Linked DNA regions of Drosophila melanogaster. The protein of the gene in region 3 interacts with the protein of the main gene of each other region in a pairwise test. Each region holds a gene or a part of one and is shown on either strand. Other genes may lie near its edges.

Evidence for each region.
Region 1: the proteins of CG10565 (region 3) and Spps interact in a two-hybrid assay, tested with the Drosophila melanogaster proteins (one large-scale study listed by BioGRID).
Region 2: the proteins of CG10565 (region 3) and bbx interact in a two-hybrid assay, tested with the Drosophila melanogaster proteins (one large-scale study listed by BioGRID).

Annotation. Positions count from the first base shown.
Region 1 is NT_033777.3:24,222,912-24,228,811, forward strand, and holds Spps (Sp1-like factor for pairing sensitive-silencing), read right to left. Parts: upstream 4,024-5,900; 5' UTR 3,745-4,023; coding exon 838-3,744; coding exon of another isoform or gene 787-837; 3' UTR 534-786; downstream 1-533. Other genes in the region: cav (caravaggio), read left to right, coding at 1-512; CG13609 (uncharacterized protein), read left to right, coding at 4,213-5,307.
Region 2 is NC_004354.4:21,361,272-21,366,060, forward strand, and holds the start of bbx (bobby sox), read left to right. Parts: upstream 1-1,756; 5' UTR 1,757-1,787; coding exon of another isoform or gene 1,788-2,330; intron 2,331-2,388; coding exon of another isoform or gene 2,389-3,936; 5' UTR 3,937-3,988; intron 3,989-4,789. Other genes in the region: waw (waclaw), read left to right, coding at 1,788-2,330, 2,389-3,936.
Region 3 is NT_037436.4:21,132,750-21,138,306, reverse strand, and holds CG10565 (uncharacterized protein), read left to right. Parts: upstream 1-1,953; 5' UTR 1,954-2,429; coding exon 2,430-2,689; intron 2,690-2,797; coding exon 2,798-2,943; intron 2,944-3,401; coding exon 3,402-4,936; 3' UTR 4,937-5,057; downstream 5,058-5,557. Other genes in the region: Ac78C (adenylyl cyclase 78C), read left to right, coding at 50-453, 513-741, 804-949, 1,087-1,200; ICA69 (islet cell autoantigen 69 kDa), read right to left, coding at 5,145-5,557.

The sequences.
Region 1 (5,900 bases), on a different chromosome or scaffold from region 3:
GCCACGAGGACCAAGCAAACACAAATCTTAGTTCACTGTCTCAAATGAACTTTCAAGTGGAAGCGATGGCTCCGCCAGGCGTGTCGTCATCTGATCTTAGCGGCATCGGAGACGATGAGGACGAACAGCAGCAGTCAGGATTTCAGGATGAGAACATCAACCGTCCAGAGACAGAGATTAATGAGAATTCGGTGAGATGTGATCCAATTAATTTAGGAAGGATGCGGACTGGATGTATAAATTCGCAAGCAAATAACAGTTTCCGGAATACGGAGTCTGATCCGGACTACTATATGTTTGGCACCCAATTGAGCACATTAGTACGACCCACGTCGACTCAAGAGCCTGACGATCAGGTAAACTGTCCAGAGACAGAGATGAATGAGAGCTGGGTAAGGTGTGATCAAATTAATTCGGAAAGCTTGTCGATTGGACCGTCAATTGATTCGGAAGGAACTATCACTTTTCAAAATACAGAATCTGAGCCGATCGACGTCACCTCAATAGCCTGATGTCCATATATTAAACTATATAAAGTTCTTCATTTATTGGTGTTAATTAATTAAAAACATGTAATCCCTAAAAATGTTATAAAATGTATAATAAAAATCTTAATTAAAATACGATGGTCGATTAAGCTATGTACACTAATCTAGGATGATCCGCAACCGGAGCTGTACAAGAAGGGTAAACATTTAAAATGCTCGCTTTTACATAATTACGCTATGTACAATTTATATATTGCTAAACCATGGTCCCATGGGGCGCGGCAGGGGGCGGTGGGTGCTACGGGAAGTGGTCAAACAAGAACTGTTCCATGAACAGCGACTCCGAATGCTAGTTGGACGAATTGTCGCCAGGCTCACTGACCGCAATTGTCATCTTCACTTCATCGCCACTGTCTAGTTCTGGATCCTCGTCATCCTCCTCATCCTCGCAATCATCCATATCGTCCTCGTCGAGCTCCTCGTCTTCGTCGTCCTCTTCGGTCAATTCATCATCCTCCTCGTCGTCCTCATCATCGCCGAAACTATCACCCCCGCCGCTGGCCTCCACAGTCGGCAGCTGAACGATCGTGGCCCCGCCCGGCGTCACAGTTGAGCCTGCAACCGTGGCCGCCACACTGGAGGCTCCACTGCCCGCCGCCGCTGAACCGCCGCCCGGAATCTCAATCGTCACAATGCCGTTCACCGTGCTAATGCTTTTCGGTGCATTGCCACCCTTGGTCTCCTGCTTGATGCTCAGCTCAATTAGCTCCACGCCAGAGCGGCTCTTAAAGTGCGTCTTGATGTGCTTCGACAGGTGATCGCTGCGCATGAACTTTTTGTTGCACTCCTGGCACTGGAAACGCTTCTCTCCCGTGTGCGTTCGTCGGTGGCGCTGCAGTTCATCGGAGCGGGTGAAGCGCTTGCCGCAAAACGCCCAGGAGCAGACAAATGGTCGCTCGCCAGTATGCCAACGCAGGTGAGCCCTTAGATGGGAAGTTTTCCCGTATACCTTATGGCAGCCGGTTATATGGCATATATGCTGGCGCTTCTTGTCCGAGTGTTTTTCGCCATCTGTACAATTGGGACAGGTGCAGGCTACTCGCTTTAAGCGTGGTTTGGGCTCTCCAGTCGCTGTTCCACCGCCGCCGCCAGTTGCAGCACCTCCGACGCTGGCCACACTTATGTTCATATTGAGATGGCTTTGTGACGGCGTTGTTATAGTCGTCGTGCTGGTGTTCGTGCTCCTTATGCTGGCAGTTGCTCCCCTAGCCTGCGTCGTGACGGACACCACTTGGCCACCAGTCGGCGCAATTGTAATCTGGGTGCTTGACGTGGTCACAGCGTTGACCTTACTTCTTGCAGGTAACGATACGGGAATTGGTTGGGTTGTGGCTGGGGTATTCGGTGTATTCGTCGCTTGCTGTGGCAGGGCTGTGATCTGAATGGAGGCTGGTATGCTCAGGCTGGACAGGGAATTGCTTTCCGTATGCAGGAACTTGATCTGCTGCTGTTGCGGTGAGGCTGTGTTTGGAGTAGAGGCAGGTGCCGGAGGATTACCAGTTGCGGAAATGGGTCCAAAGGTATCCGGCGGCTCTTGCTTGATGCTGGTGATCATTTGCGTTGGACTCTGCGGCTCCTGCTTGGGCATCACCTGAACTTGGCCCTGAGTTTGCACTTGAGGATGCGACATGGGTAGTTGGGTTAGTACTTGCTGGAAGTTGGCTGGCAGATTAGGAGGCAGCTGATTGGCGTGAATGATTTGCACTTGACCCAGGCCTGGGATGTTCTGGATGGGTAAAGCCTGAAGATTGGGCATCTGCATTGGTGTGGGCACACCAGCTGGAGCAGGAGTGGGTGCGGTAGGCGCATTTGGGCGTAGTTGGGCGGGAATCACGGTCAGCTGTTGGCCCTGGGCATTGGTAATGGTGATGGGCTGATTGGGCGGCAGTTGTCCCCCCGCCGAGGCATCGCTGATCGCCTGAAGGAGCTGCTGGTGCTGCGCCTGGACCTGTTGTTGTTGCTGCTGCTGTGCCTGTTGCTGTTGCGCTTGCTGCTGCTGTTGCGCCTGCTGCTGCTGTTGTTGTTGTTGTACTTGTTGTTGCTGCTGCTGGTGGGGATTCTGGATATGTATAATGTTGGCATTCGGAGGCAGCTGAGGATACGGCATTGCCAGTTGCACCTGCTGAATCTGACCGTTGGGCGTAACAATCTGGGCTATCTGTGAGAACTGCGGGATGATTTGCATCTGCGAGGCGGAGGGCATCTGCAGGGATTGCGCCTGCATCAGGTTTTGCAGTCCGCCGCTCGATGTTGCCGCTGCCTGGACGGGCACATGTACAGTCTGGTAGATGGTCTGTCCGTTAGCAGTCTGAACGGGAATCTGCACAGCAACCGTTTGTTGCTGCTGCGGCATGGCTGGCGCCGGAAACTGCACCAGTTGCGGCCGCATCTGCAATTGGCCGTTCTCCAACTTTATAGATTGCCCGCCGCCTAGTAAATTGGAGATATTGGAGATGTTTCCCAGCAATCCATTCGCCGCCGCTACCGAGGTTGGTATCTGCAGGTTTGTGCCCGGTATGGTGATGCTGCCCGGCAGCTGACCCGCTGTCCCACTATTGGTAACTCCCGATCCATTGGCTCCAGATGCATTTGTTCCTTGTGCCTGCTGTTGCACTGTACCCTGGTGCACTTGTTGTGCCTGCTGTTGTTGCTGAATGAGATTGGTGACGGGTATTTGAATGTTGGTGCCGGGTATGGTGATCAGCTGGGTTTGCTCCTGGCCCAAGCCGTTCAGCTGTTGCAGCTGAATGCAGTTAGAGGCTGCCGGATTAGCTGCCATCTGGGGAGCCCGCAGAATTTGACCGTTGGGCGTGATAAAGGCCTGTTGCCCGTTGAAGTTGACCGCCTGAGCGGTGGCCAGTTGTGCATTGAGGTTTGGTATGAAGATGGCCTCCTGGCCATCAATGTTCACCGTTTGCATGGGCATGGGCTGTACGATCTGGAACATGTTTTGGGGCATGCCAGCGTTCTGTCCGTTCCCGGCAACCGCTCCGCCTGCAAACTGAGGAGGCATTTGGTGAATGTTGATGATCTGCTGCATGGTTGGTGTCCCGGGAGCACCGTGAACCTGCGTTTGTGAAGCTGCTGCACTAGCTCCATTTGGTGGAATCGTCGCCTTGCTGGAACCGCCTGCCGCCAAAGGCGTGGCGGGTGGCGCACTAGTCGCCGCACTGGCGGCACTCTTGTACTGCAGCATGGCAGGGCTTTAGATGAGATTTGGTCAATCACAAGTGCTTGGAGCGAAACATGTTCAGTTTTTTTATTCGCTCAGACGCGCTACTCTGCCAGGAGATTGGTAGCATTTAAACCAAGGTGGCACACATGGGGTTATGAACACTGGGATGCGGGGTGCCGACGCTAACATTCAAACACATAAATAACACGAAGTCTAAAGATAATTGCGCTGCGAGACGGTTTTAGCGAGTTTTTAGTTTTAATTTTGTTTTGACACAAACGCAGAAGAAGAAGTGAGAGTGATTGGCCAGGGTTGCATTGCGTTGCATCTCGATGGCCGCCAATCGACCAACCAGCCAACCGATAGTGCGATACCAATAACAAACCGCTAAAAGCAAGAAGAAGCATATCACAGATAAACAAATTTTTAACCGACAAGTTGCCTATCCGACAAAATCCATATTTAATTAGATTGCATCTTGAAAGGGGCATGGAGCCGGTTCCAGAGGAAGCCCGAGGAGTGGGTGATGACGAAGGGGAACTCGATTGTCTAACACATATGATTGGGGCGTTGCTTTTGCAAAAAGAACCGGAAAATCCTGAAAATGGTGACTCAAAGGAAACAATTTGGAGTGGAGAGCTCGAATGGGAGGATGCACAGATATTGGATCAACCGAAGACTCTGCACACGGTCCAATGCAAAATCTGCTCCATGGTTAAAGAAGGTCAGCCGGAGATCAACACGGAGAACTGGCCAAACAAGCTGAAAACACAACTGATACCCAAAAAAGTGCTGGGTAAAATTGGCGAACAATTCCTAAAGGATGCCAGGATGGTTGTATTCCGATCCAGCCAAGGAGAGGTACTCAATTTATTGATCACGGCGATGAGCTCTGGTTTCGCTGGTTGCATCCACTTCCCCTCCAATCCCAACTGCAACATCAAGGCTCTAATTCTCATCTACTCGCGCGATCATCAAGCTTTGGTTGGCTTCATACCCAACAATGAGGATTCGTTTAGCGAACGACTGCAGGAGATTCTTCAGGGTGCAAAACGAAAGCCGGGCGTCAAAACACCCAAGCAGCCACAGCCAGAAGAACCGCCTCCTGTGGAGGAAGATGCCATTATAAATGAACTCCTATGGACTGGATCGCTGAATTGGTCGACACAAGCAAGTTTAGAGGAGCCAAGCATTAGTCACAAGCTTGAGTGTTCCGTGTACATAGCTATAAAAAACGGTGATCCCGGGATCAGTGCGGAGGATTGGCCAACTGATATGCCTATGGTTTTGATGCCTTCAATTTATCTTGGTCAGTTCGCCGGAGCGTTTATAAAGGACTCGAAACTTATAATTCTCCGATCGACACCTGGAGAAGAACACGACTCGCTAGCATCATCAATGTCCGCCGGCAGTTGTGGCTGTGCCCGATTTTCCTCCGAGGTCGTCTGCAAGGTTATCATGCTGCTGTATTCGTCCCCGAGGAACGCCTTCCTGGGCTTTATTCCGAGAGATCAAGCTAATTTCGTCAAGCGATTGCGGGAAGTATTAGACGAACATCGCCAAAAGGCGAGAAACAAAGAGTAAACAAGTATCTCAAGATGATCTCAAAGTATATTTAAAATATTTATTTGAACTCTAGGTATATCAAATTTATAGTCATCGAAGAAAGTATTGTTTTATAATTAGATATTTTTTTTTTTTTTGTTTAATTATTATAAATATAGACCAAAGAATATTTAAACAAGATACGCTCGCACGTCCCCAGTGGGAAAACATACCAAGGCTAAAATATGTAATCAGATAAATAATCATAAAACTGCGAACTCCTGAATGCATTTACGCAAGTTTGTATTACGAATGTCTGTCATACGTTGCCATATTAAAACTTAACCGATCTTATAAATAAACATTTTTGATGTGCATCTATTATGTTTATGTTCTACAACTAGGTCAAGGACAACTGTGTTATCGCATGTCAGATGCTGCAGCATTAATAGACATTAAAAAAAAAACCCCGACTGTAAAATAAGTAATCTAATGAATGCTTCTATTTAGGAAGTTTGAAATAAAAATAATCTTCCGAATGCAAAATCCTTTCCTTTTCGTATTAGTTGTGAATTGATCGAATAAGTATTTTCATATGTTGGGTTCATCATCTTCGTCTTAAGGATTACATT
Region 2 (4,789 bases), on a different chromosome or scaffold from region 3:
CATCTAGGCTAAGCGAATCCAATCCGATTTATATTGTATGTTAATTCATTTTTGTCTGTTTACCTTACCCTTATCTGTGTTGTCTCAAAGCGAGCAATTTATTTAGGTTATACTATATGTTGCGTGTCAGCCTGCCCTTCCGATCCTTCTTGACCTCCATGGTCCGCTGTCCTGCAGTGCCGCCCGATTCCTAAGCACGATCTGATTGAATAAACAGTGATCCCTTCCTAGGCGGTCCCGGGAACCCATGGCCAGTTGCGGAAACTCGGTTTAGCAGGCTACTCGCTTAAAAGTGCACTCCTTTAACGGATGAAACAAAAACCAAAATGTGAAATCTCTTTTATTATGTATATGAAGACTTTTTTAACTCAATATAATCCTCTATGAATATATAAATATGCTTTTTATACAATTTGTAAGCCAGACCGTCTTATGCATTTTCTTGTAGTCTCCCATTTACTCAAAGTGTAAGGGGGCATACTATTTGTATTCTTGAGGAGATCACTAGCCGACTCCATCCAGTTACATATGTATGTACATATATGTACGTCTGTCCGTATGAGCGTCAATATCTCGGAAACTTTAACAAGCCGAATGTTCCAACTGCCAAGCCCATTTGTTTGTTTGATAAGTTTACTTTTGTTGTATTTCAATAACAATAGTTAGGCATTCATATCCTTTAGATACATTTGCAGTTGTGTTCGCCTGATGCCTGGCAAAATCTTAACCTTTTAGACACTTTTCACAACTGCTTGTCTTGCTTTTTTAGAGCGAAACCAAAATGCTCATTCAACGTATGCATTCGAAAACACAAGCAAGCACAAGAGTAACATTGCGAGATTTCACTATCAGCTTTTCCAATCACATTGGCATTATTGTTAGTAGAACAAAAGTTTTACTTGTACATATTTGTCAAGCGTTCGTCGAAAGAGCTTAAGGATCCTCACAACCTCAAGTATCCCTAGTTCAACCCATACTTGAGTATTGTCCGTGTGTATGGTCTCCTCAACACGTCTAGCATCAAGGTCTTGTGGAATCGGTACAGGGACACAGCCAGGATAATCCCTACCATCCCATCAATCATTCTCATGAAAAGAAGACTTATTTTTTCGAGACGAAAACGATCTCTATGTTGGATACATATTTTAGACGGAAGCAGTATCGGGTTTCAGATTGTAGAAGATGATGTGTGGGTAAGGTTAAAAAACCAAGAAAGAGATCGAAAAATAAGAGCAAAGTCAGTTGCAATCTGAGAATGGTTCGATCTCGACCTGAGTATGCTGAGCATGATTCGATCTTGGCTAGATTTTGAGATCGAAGTTCTTAAATCGAGATCGTTGAGAACGGCTTTTTCTCTGACTGTGCTGAGGTCAAACCCCCTTTTTCTGGAACCAGCAGTTCCTCCAGCTCCCTTGCTGGTCTATTACAATTACCATTTACCATTGTAAGCTGTTCCAAGAAAAGAACCTCGGCTTCTAGAAATCGAATCTCGCAGCGATGACTTCCTCACGAAAGCAGTTGAAAAAACAGAATATTTATGATATATAGCTCAATATTTCGGACTTTCTTACTTGTTTATTTATGAATATAAACCTATAGGCAATCTGAGATCTAGGAGCATTACGATCTTTCGCTTAAGAATATGTTTAATTTGCATCCGAGAACAAATTAGTAAAGGATTATTGAGTTGTAAATATTTGTTCATGTGTAAACATCGGTTTTCGTAGATTGCCAACAGATGGCGCTGTTTGTCACAAGATGGACAGTATTTTCCTGCTGTCTTACACATGATTGTCGGCTACTCGGTATTTTTTCATCATACGGTCACACGGCGCACATGGTGTGCGGTAACAATTTTTTTTTGCCGGCAAAGAAATGTAAATTCAGCCATGATTCGTGCGATTTCAATCCGTTGGCTGCTGCAGCGCCCGGGGGACAAACGACACTCCGCCTGGCTGGTGGCCAGGTCAAAGAGCTTACTCGTCCGCAACCTGAGCACCACCAATCAGGTCAAGGGCGAAACGGAGGAGCCCTCGCAGGCGGATCTGTTGCGCGAGTTTGCCCACATGCCGGTGGAGCGCATTCGGAACTTCAGCATCATTGCGCATGTCGATCACGGCAAGAGCACGCTGGCTGACCGGTTGCTGGAGCTCACGGGAGCCATTGCGCGTAATGGCGGGCAGCACCAGGTACTGGACAACCTGCAGGTGGAGCGGGAGCGTGGGATCACGGTCAAGGCCCAGACCGCATCGATCTTCCACCGTCACAAGGGACAGCTCTATCTGCTGAACCTCATTGACACTCCTGGTCACGTGGATTTTTCCAATGAAGTGTGTTTCATGTCAAAAGTCTGCTAATTCTTCTGCTAATCATTTGCCCATTACCCAGGTTTCGCGATCTCTGGCTGCCTGCGACGGCGTGGTACTCCTGGTGGACGCATGCCATGGTGTCCAGGCTCAAACCGTGGCCAACTATCACTTAGCCAAGCAGCGTCAGTTGGCAGTGGTTCCCGTGCTCAACAAGATAGACATCAAGCATGCAAACCCTGATCAGGTTTGTCAGGATCTAAAGCTGCTGTTTGGCATAGATCCGGACGAGGTGCTGCGCGTGTCCGCCAAGCTGGGCACCGGCGTATCTGAAGTCTTAGAAAGGGTCATAGAAACTGTGCCGCCACCACAAGTTCAACGGGACAGCGACTTTCGGGCCCTAATCTTCGACAGCTGGTTCGACAAGTATCGCGGAGCCCTTAATCTAATTTATGTGCTGAATGGCAAGCTAGAGCAGAATCAGGATATTCAGTCGCTAGCCACCAAGAAGGTGTATTCCGTCAAGAGCATCTCTGTGTTGAGACCAGCCGAGTGTCCTGTTCCGGATGTATCCGCTGGTCAAGTGGGCTTGATTGCTTGCAATATGCGCAACAGCAAGGAATCCATTGTGGGCGATACCATTCACCTGAAGAACCAAGCAGTCGCCGCCGCAGGAAGCTATCGACCGCAACAGCCGCTTGTTTTTGCTGGAGTTTTTCCCGCCGACCAGTCAAAACATGTCGCCCTGCGCAGTGCCATCGACAAAATGGTACTCAATGACTCAGCGGTAACTGTAAAAATTGATTCCAGCCCAGCTTTGGGACAAGGTTGGCGTTTGGGCTTCCTGGGACTTCTGCACATGGAGGTCTTCTGTCAGCGCCTGGAGCAGGAGCATGGCGCTGAGCCCATAATCACCGCGCCTTCCGTCACATATCGTTTGGTCTTGAGTAATCCAAAGATGATCAAGCAACAGGGTCGCGATACAATGGACATTTCCAATGCAGCCCTCTTCCCGGAACCGCATTCCATCAAGGAGTACTATGAGCCCTTGGTTTTGGGCACAATCATCACGCCCACGGAGTATGTTGGCCAGGTGATCAGCCTGTGTGTGGAGCGTCGGGGATTGCAGCAAAGCTCGGTGAACATCGACGACACCCGTGTGCTAATGAAGTACGTACTGCCGTTAAGCGAGATCATCCTGGACTTCCACGACCGCCTCAAGTCGTTAAGTTCTGGCTACGCCAGTTTCAGCTACGAGGACCACGGCTATCATCCATCGCACTTGGTTCGATTGGACATCCATCTGAACGGCAAGCCCGTGGAGGAGCTCTGCCGCATTGTCCATGTGTCCAAGGCCACGGGCGTGGCACGGCAGATGGTTCTCAAACTCCGGGAGCTTATTCCAAAGCAGATGGTACAGATCGCAATCCAGGCATGCGTGGGCAGCAAGGTGCTAGCGCGCGAGACCATCAAGGCCTATCGCAAGGATGTGACAGCCAAGCTTTATGGTGGGGATGTCACCCGGCGGATGAAGCTGCTCAAGCAGCAGGCCGAGGGCAAGAAGAAGATGCGCATGTTCGCCAACATCCGCGTTCCTCACGAGACCTTCATCAATGTGCTCAAGCGGTAGGATCAATCCCGACCAGAACATCGCTTCTCAAAGCTATTTGTGGACAATTTAGGTGAGTGATTGTTGCCATTCCAAAAATGGGCACCTAATATTTCAATTAATAGTAGTTGGACAGTAATGCTAGGAATAGCTTGTACTATTCAGTCAACTGATAACCTTAAAGTGGATTTTTGGGTCTCTCCAATCCATACTTTATTAAACAACAAACAACATTGTGGTGTTCTTTTCCCTAATTTAAATGGAAATATTTGACAAAAGCCTACATATTTAGTATCGTTTAAAAAATACTTGAGGGTGCGGCTGTCGCTTATCATTATGTACCCTTCAACCGCCCCCATTTTCCTCCCGAGTTTCCGCGGCTTGTGCGATACGTCTTATCATTGTTTGGCTCTTGGTCGCAAATAGAATAATTATTCCGTCTTATGATAATGTACTCGCGGAATTGGGCGCGGTTGTGGAACGCCCCTTTTTCAAAGTTCATTAACATTAGAAACTAGACTAAAACTAGCACAAAGCTAACCAAGAGGTAGCGCAGTGAGAGTGGGGAGTGTTTGTCGCAGCCAATCGATATTAATTCTTTTATATTTTTATAAATAAATGATCTGGTAGATTCGTTGTCGTCCGTATAAACGTCCTGATCTCTGAAACTACAGGAGACTTGGGATTGAACATGCGCATGTTTAGTTTAGTTTCAAATGTGGAGGAAATTAGGTTCAAGTTAACTAGAGGACATTGAACAGAACCGAGTAATCTGAGTAATCTCTAAGGAACTTGGATTATTAATAACTTTTCAAAAAATCGTGTTCGATAGCATCATACAAATTCGTTTAGTTTCAGTAAAATGAATTAAAAC
Region 3 (5,557 bases):
CTCCCGGTTGCAAATGTCTAATGATGCCGCACGGCACAAATCAAACCAGGTGACTTTGATGAATTGCTGGAGGAGCCACGATTCGCATCGGTGGAGAAAATCAAAACAGTGGGTGCCACGTATATGGCGGCAGCGGGATTAAATCACGAGCATCTCAGACTTCGCGGCGAGACCTCCGAGGATAGTGTCTGCGACCTGGTGGAGTTCGCATTTGCCATGAAGCAAAAGCTGGAGGAGATCAATGGGGATGCCTTCAATAACTTCCAGCTGCGTGTGGGCATCTGCAGTGGTCCTTTGGTAAGTGGAGTGATTGGAGCCAGGAAACCGGTCTACGATATCTGGGGCAATACGGTCAATGTGGCATCACGAATGGACTCCACGGGCGAGAACTGGCGAGTTCAGGTTCCGGAGAATACGGCGGAATTGCTTTGCTCCAGGGGTTACACGTGTGTGGTAAGTGGGTCTTTTGTTACCTATCCCGAATTCTTATACGTTTTTTCAAAATCCCACAGAAACGTGGTGAAATCGCTGTGAAGGGCAAGGGCATGATGACCACCTTTTATGTGCATCCCAAGGGAATATCGGAGAGCCAGCTGATCTCACCGGTTCGCATGCCAGCCGGGATTCCCCTGGCCCAAACCCCGAATCTTCAGCGGCAGACCTCCCATCATGGATCCTTCAGTGCCGTGGTTTTCGGAATGCTTCAGGCTAGCAAACGCAGCACAGCCATTGCCGGAACACGTAAGTGTTCCTTTCGGGTAACTTAAAATTCTTATAACATTAATTTGATTCTAATGCTTAAGCCACGGGCACTCCTTCGCCGCAAATCCGTCGAGGACATCGGGGAAGCACGTTCAGCTCGGTCCGGTTATCCCAAAAGTCCACCACGGTCAATCCTGTGCGCCGGAATACAACCCGTGTTCGGGGACGTTCATATCGACAGAAAAAGGTACAATACGTAGTGTTTCAAAAATTATTATATATCAAATAGTATTTAAGTTGTTCATATGATTCTGTTTAATTAGAAAGAGTATTTTCTAGAACCTATCTTATATAATGATATATTTTTCCTATTCAATATTTTAGAGTTCCTCCAACAACTCGATCGTCACGCAGGCCAGCTCTAGCTATATGCCCTCGTTCCGACGGATCGACCAGATCGAGACGACGATATCGAAGAGCCACAACGATGCGTTATAGCCGAGTACGCGCACTCACTGGGTCTAAGTCGATCTCAAGGCGATAGAGTGTCTGATGAATTTATTTTTGGAACGATTTTATACAAATGGAGTTACGCCGGCATATGTTTCAAAGTTTGGCTTAACACTGAAATGAAATGGTGGAGAACGACACTGAAGCTACTTAGTAGAATTTTTAAATCACCATACTTGAAGTTGCAAGAATTACATTTATCTCAGCACAATTCTAGTCGTTAAACTTAAGAACTGTCGTTTATATGTGTGCGTTTCAAATCTGTTTAGAGTAAGATATTTGGATCTTCCCACAAAAGCCAACCATACGAAATGCCAATGAACCTACTAGCTTCGTTCAATTCAACCATAATGTGTACCAACTAGTTTTCTAGTACTAATAGTCAATTTAACAGCCAGTAATCAATTAGAAAACCAAATATTAGTTGTACAAACCGTTTCTTTTGATCAAAGAGCGGAAATGTAAATAAAGTAAGCATACTTATGTATAAAATATTTTACGACCATCTAAATGTAATGAGGTCAAGTGTTACTGAAATGTGAAATGGATTTTGGCAAATAAAAGGTGTATTACTATACAGCCAGCACTTATTTAGCACTTTAATTGTAATTATACAATTCGTTATAAATAAATGTGATAAGCAAAACTAACAAATGGTAGAACTTAATGGTTTTTGGAATATACGTCAAGTTATCATTCAAATGAATTATAAACAGTCGTTTTCTTAACTATTGTATGACACTTTCTTTTTTTAGTGGCCCATTATAACAAAAACTCGAATGTGGAATGTATTTAATAGTGTAGGATTTGTTATGTAATGAACGTGGATTAATAATTTGTTAAGACGGTTAACTAAATATATAAATCATAAATAACCATTAGTTGAGATACGGTCACACTTTGGCGCCAAACCAATACAACAGTTGCCATTCGATTTTAGCTATAGCAGCTGGCAGCACTGCCAATAAGTGCCAGCGATACATGCTTGCTGTTATCGATCAAATATAGAGTAGGAAGCCAATCGATTTTACCAGCGCCATAATCGATGATGGCATCGATGTTTCACCACCACTAGTCGAAACACATGCGGTGCTGCGGAAAAGTGTGATTATTAATTGGATTTCGACGTTTTGAAGGCAGCGGATCGCCAAATTTTGAGTAACGTGAATCCACAGGAGTGGCGGTGAATGCCCATTAACCAGCGGACCTGACCAGAGATGACGAGCGGTACGGTAGCAACGGCGGTGGAGGTGCAGCTGCCGCTCAAGGTCGTTCGCCGTAAAATCGAGCGCGTTGGCTTCGCTTACTTTGCGCAACGGCGCCAATTTCTAGCTCCCGGCGGCGTGGAGCGCAGCGAAAGCGATGAGAAATTGGAGGGCGTGGGCGAGGAGGTGGACATCAGCTACCTAAAGTCGCTGGATCCTAAGGAGTGGAAGGACCAGGATCATTACGCCGTTCTTGGCTTGGGCAAGCTCCGGTTAGTGCGACGGCAGCACGTGGTGTTCTTCCCATGTGTTCGTTTCTATCAATATTTAATGGGACTTCCCCAACTAATACTGTATTGTCTGACTAAATCACCCTTTAGATACGAGGCCAGCGAGGATGATGTTCGACGGGCTTACAGGCGCATGGTTCTGCTGCACCATCCCGATAAGCGGAAAGCCAAGGGCGAGGAAGTCATCCAGGACGATGATTACTTCACATGCATAACCAAAGCTTACGAGATACTGGGTGGGTGTCAAGAAAATGTCCTTGCTGATCCTTGGGTGTCCTTCGGACTTCGCATTGCCCATGCAAATCGACAGATAAGAATATTTTGATATTAATTTTCAGAGCATTTGCTTAAGCTATATAAAATTATGATACCATACAATCCTGTTGAGTATAATAATCAATTAAGATTTTAAATTATCTGAAACTAATTTATACTCGATCTAATTCATTGGTGTGCTGTTGCCTTTGTCTAAGCGCGCAGAACTTGAAGCTTTATTTTTGCATATCTAAAAATAGGACTAGTTGTTTGCTCTCACATTCTTTTAAACAAAATGCCAAATTATAACTTACTATTATACAACAGAATTTTTTTGGCTTTAAACACTTTGAATAATTGTAAACAATTGTACGAAATAGACAGGAAGATTTTAAACTATTTCCTCTTAAACCATCTAATACTCCATCTTGTATTCCAGGCACATCCAAGCCGCGCCGCAGCTTTGACTCAGTGGATCCCGAGTTTGACGACTCGCTGCCCTCACAGAACGACATCGATAACGACTACTTTGGCGTATTTAACAAATTTTTCACACTTAACGGGCGCTGGAGCGAAAAGCCGCATGTTCCCTCCTTCGGGCAGGTGGACGCCAAACGCGAAGAGGTGGAGCGCTTCTACAACTTCTGGTACGATTTTAAGTCATGGCGGGAATTCAGCTACTTGGACGAAGAGGACAAGGAGAAGGGCCAGGACCGCGACGAACGTCGCTGGATCGAAAAGGAGAACAGGGCGGCTCGAATCAAGCGCAAGAAGGAGGAAATGTCTCGTATCCGGTCGCTCGTCGATTTAGCCTACAACAATGATAAGCGCATTCAGCGCTTCAAGCAGGAGGAAAAGGATCGCAAGGCTGCTGCCAAGCGAGCCAAGATGGACGCCGCCCAGGCCCAGAAGGCAGAAGCTGATCGTGCCATCCGTGAAGCGGCTTTGGCCAAGGAGAAGGCTGAAAAGGCCGAGCAGAAACGCATCGAGCAGATCCGCATCGAACGCGAGCAGCAGAAAAAGCTGCTTAAGAAGGAGCGCAAAACGCTGCGCGACAAGGTCAAGGACTGCAAGTATTATGCCAAGAACGACAAGGATCAGCTGAAGCACATGGAGGGCACCGAGAAGATTTGCGAGACCTTCAATCTGGCAGAGCTGCAAGCTCTAAATAAGGCAATGGAAAGCAAGGGCCGTGAGTCGTTTGTTGCTGCCCTTCAAACGGCCGAGCAGAAGATAGCTGCCGAGTTGGAGGAGATTAACCAGACACAGGCCAAGAAGCTTGCCAGCTCAGCGGCCACGCCAAAAGGCGTTAAGGAGGTCAAGAAGAATGAGCTCTGGAGCAATGAGAACGTGCAGTTGCTTATCAAGGCGGTTAATCTGTTTCCCGCTGGCACTGCACAGCGTTGGGATGTCATAGCCACTTTCATTAACCAGCATAGCCCGGATAACACTGTTCTGGTCAATGCCAGGGATGTGCTCAACAAAGCCAAGGCGCTCCAGAACACAGATCACTCGAAGAGCTCCCTGAAGACTCAAGCCAACGATGCGGCATTTGCCAGTTTCGAGAAGTCCAAGAAAGATGTTCAGACGTGTAAGGATATAACCCTGGGCGAGGAGACGGCCCAGGCGAGCAAGGAGAACTTGAAACAAAACGGTGTAGATCATAAGGCGAACAATCAGTCAACCAAGCAGAATGGCACGGCTCCAGCTCCAGCAAACCCCACGGCTGCACCAGCCCCAGTTCCGGCCACAAATGGGTCTACGGGCGGCGGTGCTGCCTCCAAAACCTGGACCAAGGAGGAGCAAGCCCTGCTCGAACAGGCCATTAAAACCTATCCAACGACGACACCCGATCGCTGGGATTGCATCGCCGCCTGCATACCGAATCGCAGTAAAAAGGACTGCTTACGTCGCGTCAAAGAGCTGGTCGAGCTGGTTAACTCCAAGAAGGAGGCACAGGCGGCGGTCAAATGAGTGCGGCTCCTGCTCCACTTTACCTGCCTCTCGTCCGCCTCATCCACTTCTAGCTGCTGTGTCCCATATAAATTTTATTTAAATAAAACATAAAAAGTTTTTGAACGTTTAGCGAAAAGTTACATCCAAAGATTCTCCATTTTGACTAGCTAGTTTCCAACGGTATATGCAGATCAACAAATATAATCTGTGCGGGAGGGTAATCTGCTCAGGTCTGCTCGGCCACACTGCGTCCGCCGCTCAGTTTTAAATCGAAGGCTTGCGGATTGGCTAAGGGATCCAAGTCGGCGAAAAGATCCAGCCAGGGATTGTTGGTGGTCTGCGATTTGCTGGGAACCGGGGTGGCGCCACCTGCACTTGCCTTCGAGTCCGTGGCTACTTGGCTCGGTATGGGTTGCTGATTCTGCTGGCTAAACAAGCGGGACCATAGCTTGTTAGTGCTATTTTGGGCAGGTATATCTTCATCCAGCGGCGCATCTATTAGAGGACTGTCCTCCAGCTGCTTGGAAAGCTCAATAAGCAAGGATTCATTGTCGCCGCAGGCATTGGGAGGTGCACTTGGTTTGTCCTCTTCGGACTCCTTGATTTCCGGCTGGGTTTCCAGCTTGTCCTGGTACTCGT